Caenorhabditis elegans: one gene and its partner. The protein of the gene in region 1 purifies or fractionates together with the protein of each later gene. This does not show direct contact. Each region holds a gene or a part of one and is shown in the gene's direction. Other genes may lie near its edges.

Evidence for each region.
Region 2: the proteins of unc-57 (region 1) and unc-26 purify together in Caenorhabditis elegans (affinity purification with western blotting, with the first as the bait; one study listed by BioGRID). This does not show direct contact.

What each region holds. Positions count from the first base shown.
Region 1 is NC_003279.8:4,673,598-4,679,946, forward strand, and holds unc-57 (Endophilin-A homolog), read left to right. Parts: upstream 1-1,537; 5' UTR 1,538-1,541; coding exon 1,542-1,877; intron 1,878-2,150; coding exon 2,151-2,279; intron 2,280-2,327; coding exon 2,328-2,480; intron 2,481-2,861; coding exon 2,862-3,049; intron 3,050-4,072; coding exon 4,073-4,127; intron 4,128-4,970; coding exon 4,971-5,255; 3' UTR 5,256-5,810; downstream 5,811-6,349. Other genes in the region: T04D1.2 (F-box domain-containing protein), read left to right, coding at 6,074-6,166, 6,216-6,295. UniProt on the Caenorhabditis elegans protein: Involved in synaptic vesicle (SV) recycling in neurons probably by regulating clathrin-mediated endocytosis. By controlling SV endocytosis, regulates the rate of excitatory postsynaptic currents (EPSCs) at neuromuscular junctions and thus locomotion.
Region 2 is NC_003282.8:13,269,475-13,274,225, reverse strand, and holds the start of unc-26 (Synaptojanin), read left to right. Parts: upstream 1-1,709; 5' UTR 1,710-1,714; coding exon 1,715-1,838; intron 1,839-2,877; coding exon 2,878-3,107; intron 3,108-3,843; coding exon 3,844-4,034; intron 4,035-4,751. Other genes in the region: cpsf-3 (Cleavage and polyadenylation specificity factor subunit 3), read left to right, coding at 69-119. UniProt on the Caenorhabditis elegans protein: Probable inositol 5-phosphatase which regulates synaptic vesicle recycling in neurons by regulating clathrin-mediated endocytosis.

The sequences.
Region 1 (6,349 bases):
TGAGTGTGCCCAATCATTATGCCTATCCACACACACAAACATTAAGTAGTGGGTAGGCTAGAGTCTTTCATGCACAAGCAAATATACACCGATTCGTCTTTTTTCCCTCTATCTGCCACATAGATAAAAGAAAGAATAACCTTCTCCTCCCCCACAACACCACCACCACTAACGGCGTCTTCTTCGTCTCAGTTTTCTTTGCTTTACGTAATCTACGTCTTCTATTTTTTCGGGGTGCTCTCTTCGGTTGGAACTATGTGTGAGAGTAGTGTGTTTCGTGTGTCTGTGTGAGTTTTTCCTCATCTTTCTCTCTCTTTTCGCGCGGAAAGAGGGCGCCCGAGGTCGGAGAAAAAAAATGAAAGGCAGAGAGGATGGAGGACACAGAGGAACGAAACGAAAATAACTGAATCGATACATCTGTGGGGTTGGCGGTGTTGAAGAGAAGAAGACGAAGAAGAAGATGAGGGGGTGGAGCTCTCCGTGCACAACGGCTTCTCCTCCCCCATCTTTCTCTCCCGTGCTTCTCCTTTTACTAGAGTCCGGCGTTGTGTTGTGTGTGTGTGTCCCCGCCTTTTTCCGGAATACGAAAGTAGGTCTAGTTAATGGTTAACTACCTCTCTTGCTCCGAAGCAGGCTTTTTCTTTAATTGCTTCTTGCAACTTTTCTGAAGCTCTACCTTTCTACTGGGAACTTGTTTTCTTTGAAATTTAGAGTTTTTAAAACTTCCTTCAGTTCTCATTCTCATGCTTTATAACCATAAAAGTGTACATCAGAATAAATCCTAGATCATAAGATCATTCACATTAGCATTTCTTTTTGGAATGCTTTTTCCGAGAAAACTGCACTTTTGAGGATTTTATCTTCGAACTGAAAATTCGAGTTGTACTTTTGAAAAAGTTTGTAGCGATCTACCTGATGTCAGTTTTATTTTAGATTTCCTGCACAGTTTCTTTCATGAATTTATAATGTTCAACCTTTAGTTCTCTCAGTTTTAAGGTTTAATGCAAAGTTTTACATACAGCCTGAGGGTCTGTGGATTTTTTTGTTTTAATTGATAGAAAATACCAGATTATACCTATGAAAAATAGTTTTTAAATTTCAAAATTTGATGAAAAATCCGAAAAAAGTGCCAAATTTTGCTTATAATCGAAATTTTTCTAGAAAACCGACCAAAATATACAATAAAGATAAATATTTTGATTAAAAAAAACTGTATTCCAACTGCTGAAACAAGGGTGGAAATTATTTTTACACTTTTTAATTTATTATTACAAAATCATTAGAATTTATAATTTTTCAACAGTTTTATCTGATCTTTAAGTGGTATTTTCTTTCATTTAAAATAAAAAATCCACAGGCGAAACTCCAAGAATTCAAGAAGCTCATTTTATCGAAACTTTCAAATCTTGCTCACCGTGATTCCCAAGTGTTTTAAATCTAAAGGAAAATAAGTCTGGTTTTTGAATATTTATTTTCAGTTGTTTTAATTATCAATTAATTAACATGTTATTCCGAATCTAAAACTCAAAATTTTCAGAAAAATGTCGTTGTCGGGGTTACGTAAGCAATTCAACAAGGCGAATCAATACCTTTCGGAGACGATGGGCGCCGCAGAGCCAACAAAACTTGACGATGTGTTCAATGAAATGGAGAAAAATGTGGATACAACGTATAATTTAATTACGGATCTCGTCGCCGGAACAAATGAATATCTTCAACCAAATCCAGCTACTCGAGCAAAAATGGCCACACAAGTTGCCCTGTCAAAAGTTCGTGGAACTACAAAAACGTCACCGTATCCACAAACAGAAGGAATGTTGGCTGACGTCATGCAGAAATATGGACAACAATTGGGTGATAACAGCGATTTGGGAAAGGTTTGCCATCCCTTTTGGAATTTTAATTTCTGAAAAAAAACCCATTTTTTAGCAACATTTGTCAATATTTGTTCTGTGAGCAATTTCTGAAAATGTGACCAAAATACAGCAAAAATAAAATTACTATTTATTTTGTTTATATTAATAATTTAATTGAAACATTAGGTTGATATTAGAAAACCACTACTTCGGTATTTTTTAGATTAAAATTTTTTGCACGGCTTCAAAATCTTCTTAATCATAATTTTAAATTACAATTTTTTTCAATTCCAGAGCCTAAACGATGCTGCAGAAACGTATCGACAAATGGCTGATATCAAGTATCAAATGGAGGATAATGTTAAACAAAACTTTCTCGATCCATTAACACATTTGCAGAATAATGAGCTGAAAGATGTGAATGTAAGCTTTTTTGCGTAAAAAAGGGTTTATTATTAATTCATTATTCAGCACCACCGCACAAAACTGAAAGGACGTCGACTTGACTACGACTGCAAAAAGCGTCAGCAACGACGTGATGATGAGATGATTCAGGCGGAGGAGAAGCTGGAAGAATCAAAGCGACTCGCTGAAATGTCAATGTTCAATGTGCTTAGTAATGATGTGAGTTTTACGATTTTTTTTTGGAAGTTTTTACTATTTTCCCCTATTAGACTTGCTATTTGACATCGGTTACCCTTAGTTTTATTTTTAAGAAGGATTATTCTCAAACTTACGAATATAACAAAAGAAAAACGGGAAAAATCCGTTAAGATTTCGAATTTTTATGTCAGAAAAATCAACGAAAAACCTTCAAAATTTAACTAGCGAAATCATAGGCCACGAGGATTGTTCGAATTTTGATCCTGTTCTATACTATGTTTTTAATCAGTATTTTATACAATTCCTTTCAATATAAGCTGTCAAAGTTTAATTTTTTTTTAATCTGCTGAAATTTTTTTCCACTTCCCCTTTTAGATATAATCACAAAAAAATTCTTTTCAGGTCGAGCAAATATCTCAACTACGAGCCCTCATTGAAGCCCAACTCGATTTCCACCGACAAACAGCCCAATGTCTCGAAAATCTACAGCAACAACTTGGCCATCGAATCAAAGATGCAGCTGCCAGGCCTCGTGAAGAGCATGTTCCATTATCAGTTCTTGCAAATGAGAGCAGAACTCCAAGATCCAGGTTGGTATAAGCATGAAGAGTGAGAAAATGCATGTTTGTTGTGAGATTTTGAACGCTCAAAAAGACCTAGTTTTTAAAAAACAGCTAATTTCTTGAGATGCACTTTTGAGATTCAGCTGAAATCTCCAATTTCGCCAACATTTTATTGAAATGGAGCTGCCCCAAAAAGCTGAATAAACTACCAAAAAAAATGTTGAATATTGGAGGATTAATTGAAATTTCGGGCCGCTGTGGCACGGAAAAATTGGCAAAATTGAAGTTTTTTAAAGCTAAATTTAGATTTTTGTTTTCTTCTCAAAACTTTGAAACGCCATGAAAATTGTACGAGAAGTTAGAATAGAATTAGTTATTTTTAAGAAATTTTGAATTTTGAGTACAGAGATTATTTCATAAATCTACCTGAAAATTAGTTTTTTCAAAAGATACGAAAAAATATATAAAGCCGGAACTAGGCGTTTTCCATTTTTGTTTTCGATTTAAAAAGGTCCCACGCATCATAAAAAGAGAAAACCCCCTGTGCTCTTAAGAAACGGAAAAAGCACTGAAGCATCATTCACAAGTAATAAAAAGGAGGAAAACATATGAAGCACAGACATAGACATGCAGAGTCTATGATTGATTACATCGCATTATGTCTTTTTACGGCCGGAGGAATACTTTTTTGGAAGGAATATGAATGTAAAAAGATCGTTTAATGACTGATTGACACGAAAATATTGAAAAATTGAAATGTTTTCGGTGTTTTTTAAGCTAGACTAGTTTAAGTTTTTTTGAAAGTTGAGAAATTTCAAAAAAAATTATTAAAAGAAACAACGTAAATTTTGATTTTTGATTATCTTTGAAAAAACCGAAAAATTGAAAATTATTCTACGACACAACCAAAAAAACATTCTAAATTTAATTTTAAAAAAATAAGAATTAAATTTCGTTACAGTACCCCCCGCTACAGTACTCCCTGATTCATATTGTGATTGATTTTTTATTTTTTGCATGCTAAAAGCCTCTTCCAAAACATCTCTTCAGTTTCAGATCGCCTGCTCCATCGGATATGAGTCACAATTCTACGGCAGCCGCAGCCGTACGTTTTTTTGTTTCAGAAAAAATTGAAAAAAGTGCGACTTTTCAACAAAAAAAACACGAATTTTGGAGATTCAGTTTTTCGGATTTCAATTACTGAAATTTTTTGGAAAATGGTATAATTTTAAAAAAACACTTGTAAAAAGACCGGAAAATGTTTAAAAAATGTTTTTGAAACATTTATTGAAAAATCAAACTTTTCAGATATTTTTCGAGACGAGAAAACTGAAAATTCTTGATTTTTCAGAAAGCCGAAATATTGATCAATTTTCTGGATAAAATTAACCAAATATTTCAATTTTTTAGTTTTTTCTCATAAAAAACATATAATTTTTCTTTAAAAAAACAGAAGTGTCTAAACTTTTAAAGAAATTTTTCGCAAAATCAATTTCTATTCGAACCGACAAAACTAAAAATTTAAAAACGAAAATTCCAGATTTTTCGGTTTTCCGGAAATCCTAAAAATCGGAAAAATATTGGGAAAATTGACAAAAAATTTCAAACTTTTAAAAATTTGGTTGATGAAAAAAAAAAGTCAATTTTCTTCTTAAAACGGGTAAATTTTCTCGAAAAAAAACTACAAATTAAAAAAAACCAATTTTCTAAAGTCGAATTTTTTGTTTGTTGAAAATAAGTTACTTTTATAAGAGAATTGTGTATTTTCCCATCAGCATAAAAAATTTGAAGATTGAATTTTTTAAATCAATTTTCTAAATCGAAACTATTCGTTTTTCAATTTTTATTTTAAAAAATCGAAAAAGCGATACCCTTGATTAGAATATTTTGTTTTTGAATAAAAACCTAGTAATTCAATTTTCAATCCAATTTCTAATATTATGTCCAGTTTAAGATGCCACCACAAAATGGAGGAGGAATAACACAAGCACCACCATCATATCAAGGACCTCCACCAGGTGGACTTCCACCTCCACTCTCCCAGCAGCAGAAGCCACAATGCAGAGCTCTATTCGATTTTGATGCTCAAAGTGAAGGAGAACTGGATTTCAAAGAAGGAACACTGATTGAGTTGGTATCACAAATTGATGAGAATTGGTACGAAGGACGTGTGAATGGAAAAACTGGATTATTCCCTGTTACCTATGTACAGGTTCTAGTGCCTCTTAAATAAAAAAAAATGTATTTCTCCCTCCAAAACCCAGTCAATTCTTTCCATTTTTTGCTGTTTTATTGCCAATTTCTCGTTTTCTCCCCAACTCCAAAGCCATGCTCCTCATCTTTGTCTCTTGAATTTTATTTCACAAAAATATTTTATTTCCCTTTCCAAATCTCACTTTTTCTCTAGGAACCCCTGAAAAGTACTCATTTAGAAGAGAATGGGCTATGGTCTCTATGAGGCTAAAATAGTTAATTCTCCTGATCCATTGTGCCGAAATCTTTGTATTTATTAAAACACTACTTGCTTTATATACATCCACTACTTTCCCCCAGTCTGCCACACCCGATGCGTTTTCCAATAGCAATACCCTGACCCACATTACCATGTATTCTATGTACTCTCTACACTACCAAAAATGTGCATTTATCAAATCTCCCTTAAAATAGCAGCATGTTATTAGTTTTTTTAGCTTTATTTAGTAACTTATTTTCAACATCAAAAAATTCATTGCAAAATTACTTATTTTCGTAATTACTTATTTTCGAGTATATGAATTTGATTTTAAACTATTTTTTTTTTGAACTCGGAGATGGAAAAAAGTCAAATTTCTTGTCTTATCAATTTTAAAATTGTTTAAAAAAAGAAGTGGATGAACAAGAAAATCAATAAAAAACTGAAATGAAAACGAAATTTCGAAATATCCGGAATATTATATTGTCCACGAGGAGTACTGTAAACAGACACCCAGTTATGTTATTAGTGACGTCATATACTTGCACCATCTGCTCTCATACCTGTGCACCATATATCTCATCGATTTTTTTTTGAACATGAAACGAATGCAACTATCATTTCGTCCATTTTCTTCACTATGGAATTCAAATCGAATTAAAAAAGGTAGAAGTTGTTCCAATCAGAAGAAGGTAAATTAAATTAATTTTTATTTGTTAGATCAAAAACTATAAGTTTCAGAAATGTAACTCTTTCAATCTACTCCAACTACCATACCTAGCATTTCGAATTGTTATTCATCAATTAAGTATTTTTTCAGTGTAAGTTATCCCGTGGTGTCAGACTGTCCCATTATGGTTTGATCTACAAAAAAG
Region 2 (4,751 bases), on another chromosome or scaffold:
ATTTTTCCACATCGCATGAATAAAACCATAACTTTCGGAAATCTGAAAAAATCTCAAAATTATTCCAGATTGTGACTACAAACACAGAAGTGAATGAGATTGATGATATGGAATGTTAGAGTAAGCAGAGTCGATCGTCACACCAACAATGATCTCAAATTACATTCTCTTTCTCTATCTTTTTTTCGTTTTGTTTATGTTTTCAGAGTATTGAAGGGAATATCGAGAGAATTGTTATAATTTATTTCATTATTATTATATCATTATTACTTTTTCTTCTGTTGTTGTGCTCTTCGTTTTGTGCATTAAAATCATATTTTTTAATCCAATAATTTTTTTTCTTTGTCTCCAAAAAAATGAAAACGCGTGTCCATCGCGAGAGACTATATGAGTTTTTCCCTAAAAATCGCAAAAATGGAGAAACAAACTTTCAGAAAGTAATGAAAAATGTATGAGAAAAATTACCGAAAATTTAAGAGACTTTCCGGAAATTCCGCAAAATTAAATTTTTTTGAAAATATTGGAAAAACTAAAATTTTCGATCTTTAAATGTTCTCTAATAGTAAAATCGAAAAACGAACAAATTTCGAATTGAAAAAAAAAATTTTTGAATAAAATCGAAAAACCAAAAACTTTTAGATTTTCCAATATTTCGACTTTTCGAAAAAATATCTCTTAATTTTTAAAATTTTGTTTTTCCGATTTTCACTAAAAAATTTAAAAACGAAAATTTTCTGTTTCTTAGGCGTAAAAAAACAGATTTTAGTGAAAAAATAAATCTAAAAGTTTAGGGATTTTTTTCAGTTTTTCGTTTTTCCAATATTTCGAAAAAAAAATTTTTCCGATTTTTCGAATTTCTTCAACATATCACGAAAACACTAAATTCTGAGAATGCGTAGCACAACATATCTGACGCACAAAGTATCTCGTAGCGAAAACTACAGTATCCCGTTGAATGACTTCTGTAGCGCTTATGCCCATTTACGGGATCTCTCGATTTTTTTTTGTCATTTCTGTGTTATCTTTCAAAATATTTTATCGATTAATGAATAATTTCCGTAACAGCGCTACAATAGTATTTTTATATATTATAAATTACAGTAGTTTTGGCCACGAGATATGTTGCAAAATACGCATTCTCAGAAATTTGTGTACGCGTAATAAACAAAATTTGATAGAAATTGAATTTTATTGTTAATCTTTTCAATTTTTCGATTTTTTTTTTGAAAAAATTGAAAAAAATCTATTTTCTTCGACATTTCGAAAATAAATAATTTTTTTCCAAAATAATATCTTTAAATTTTCGCCATTTTTCTTTATATAGATTTTCCGAAAATTGGAAAAATTGCAAAAAAATGCCCAATGACACCCGTGGCCGGGACCGGGAGGCCTAAGAGATTTAAAAAGACAAAACACGTATAGTTAGTCGGTTTTTTCTTCTTTCTTTATATGCTTCTCGCAGGGCTTTTCCCCTTCTGCCATCGTCTTCCTTTTTTCTTCGTCAATATATTCACATCTCTGCGTCTCTCCCAATGCATTTTTCTGCGTCTCTTCTATTCACGTACTGTCTCACTCAGTCTGCCATCCGCGCAGACTCGTTATTCTATTCTCACCACCACCACCACTACTGAGGTTCTTTTATTTTTTTTTGTTTTTTATTTTTTTTTAGTTTTCTTGGTGTTTTTTCTTTCTTGAATTTGTGATTATTTAGAGAATGTCAGTTCGAGGGATTCGGATATGGCGGAGGAATGATGCACGATTTCAACCATCAATCCTTGTCGAAAAGAATGGATTAGATGGATCTCTTTTGTTTCAGGGTGGAGCTATTGCAACGTTAGGTAAGGTTTTTGAAGAAATTATTCAAAAATATTTTAAAAATTAATTTAAATTTAAAAAAATAATCCGAAAATTTGGATAAAAGTTGAATAAATTCGTTTAAAAAATATTTAGACATTGGCCGAAAAACATTTTTTTAAAATTAGTTTTTTCTCATTTTTTTCTCAAAATATTTTTGAAAATTTGAAAAAAACATGTGGTAAAATATTCCGTATTACGTTTTTTACTGATGAGAAATTTTAAAGAAAAAAAAATTTAAACTCCAGAACTTATAGAATTATTTTATCGAAACAATCCATTTTATTACGGTTTTTTAGTTTTTTTTTCAAAGGTGGAGTACCAAAACCTGAGAAATATTTTCAAATGACTCCAATTTTTCCCCTAATTCCGAATTTCTAATTATAAAAATTCAAAAATATTTCCCTGATTTTATAGTTCAGCTTGAAATCGCTTGTTAACCCATGAGATTTTTCAAACAGCGAATTTTCGCGCCAGAGACGTCATGTGTCGATTTACGAGATTTTAAATCTTGCTGATTTCCGTTTTTCAACAAGTTTCCTCGATTTTCGTCGGTTTTTGCCAATTATTTTTGAAAGTGTGTTTTTTAAAGGAAAAATTTCCAATTTTCCGTCGAGTTGTGACCTAAACATTGGAAATTTTGTTAGTTTTTTAATGATATTATGTTTAATTGGCTTTTAAAAAAACCCATTTCAATTTTAAAAAAACTTGGCAAAAACCGACGAAAATGAAGGAAACTCAATGAAAAACAGAAATCAGCATCTGATAAACATTGAAAATCTCGTAAATATACACAAATCTCATAAATCGACACATGGCGCGGAAATTCGACGTTTGAAAAATCTCATAGAGACGCAATGCGATTTCAAGCTGAAATATAAAATCAGGGAATATTTTTTGAATTTTTTTCCCTTAGATATTCGGTATTAGAGGAAAATTTGGAGAAATTTAAAAATATTTCTCATCCACATTTAAATTTTTTAAAAATTTCCCACATTTGCCAAAATTATCCTCCTCTTCCAGATTCGGATTCAACAGACGTTGAACGAAGATCATATCAAAAGATAGTTGATGCTTATGGAATACTTGGAGTACTTGCTATTACAAAAGATGAAGCTGTTCTAGTTGCTGTTACTGGTGTACTTTCAGTTGGACAACTTTATGGAGCTGATATTCTTAAAATTACAAATGTCGAATTTATATCGTTACGAACGTTTGGTTCCGTCGAAAATGTTGATTCCAGAATTATCGATGTAAGTTTTTTAAACAATTTATTAAAGTTTTTAAAAAATTTATCTGATACATTAAAAAAGATCCAAAAAAAGTAAAATTTGTAAAAAAAATGAAAAAAAGAAAATTTGTGAATTTTCAGGGTTTCGAATTCGAAAATTTGAACCTTTTTTAATATCAAATTTTGAGTTCAATTTTTTTGGGCTATTTCGACTTTTTTGAAGTTTTAGACCAAAGCATTAGGAACTTCAAAAAATCATTTTTTTCGAAAAAAAAATCCAAAAAAAATTCAGTTTTTACAGATAAACCAGTGCAAACGCTGAAAAAATTTATTTCTCCAAAAAACTTTAAAAATACAAATTTTTCACAATTGCAAATTTTTTAAAAGTAAAAAATTAATTTTTTACTTTAAAAAATGCATTTCTTACAAAAAAAAATCGCCGGGATAGCAGAAAAAAATCATTTTTACAGAAAAAAATTTGTAAAAAAGATTCGTTTTGTTTTTTCAAGAAAAAAGCACAAAAGCCAAAAAAAATTACAAAAAAACCGTGGAAAAATCGATATTTCTGACAAAAAACCTCTAAACCTCTATTTTTCAGTTACAGCGACAATTTATAGATTTGAAAAAAATGTTTGAAAAAATTATTAAAAAAATATTAAAAAATGTGTTTTTCATTCAAAAAAAAAAAGATCTTTCGAGAAAAAATAACAAAAAAAAATTTGCTAAAAAAACATTTAAAATCCTCCAATTTTTTGCAGTTACAACGACTACTTTCATCTCAAATGTTCTATTTTTCATCACTTCAATCATATGATCTCACTCGTTCAGCTCAACATCGTGATTCACATGATTGTAGTGATGCACGATTCTTCTGGAATCGAAGTCTTCATTTTTCATTTCAAAGATATGGAATTGATACGGATAATTGGTTGTTGAAATGCATGGCTGGGTAGGTAAAAATTCATGTATTTGGGTCTCGACGCGAAAATCAAATAATGTTGAGTATGTTTCTCGTGGCGAGACCTTTAAGTACGAAAAGTTGCGAATTTACATATAAATTTAAAAAAAAACTTTAAATTTAACAAAAGTGGTTTTTTTTTGCAATTTTCTAATTTTTTGAAAATTTCAATTTTTTTTAATTACAAAAAAAAGTGATTTGAAAAAATAAGATAATTTTTGTGGAATATAATAAGATTTTCAGTTTTTTTGAAAAAAAAACGAATTTTTTTTTAAATTTAAAATTTAAAACTTTGTTGTAAAAATCATTATAAAAAGCCGAAATGAATTTTTCAAATTTCACTTATTTTTTAAAAAGAATTTTACAATAATACACAAAAATAATACAAAAATCTTTATTAAATTTCTGCTAATTTTAATTTTTTTTAGAATTAATTCGAAATATTTTTTTTCGTGGTGAGACCCAGCCGAGTTCCCGGAATTACAAGATTTATCATATACATTTTTTTTTTTGAAACACCTATTGTCAAATCTTTCAAAAACATTTTTTAAAGTGAAATTCAGTATCATTTTTAGAGTTTAGAGCTAGTTATTTTTTCTCTTAAATTAATAACTTTGTCGTTAAAAAAATCATTATAAAATCCAATAATAAACAACTTTTTTTTCAATTTTTCTACTTAATATACAAAAATAATACAAAATCTTCATA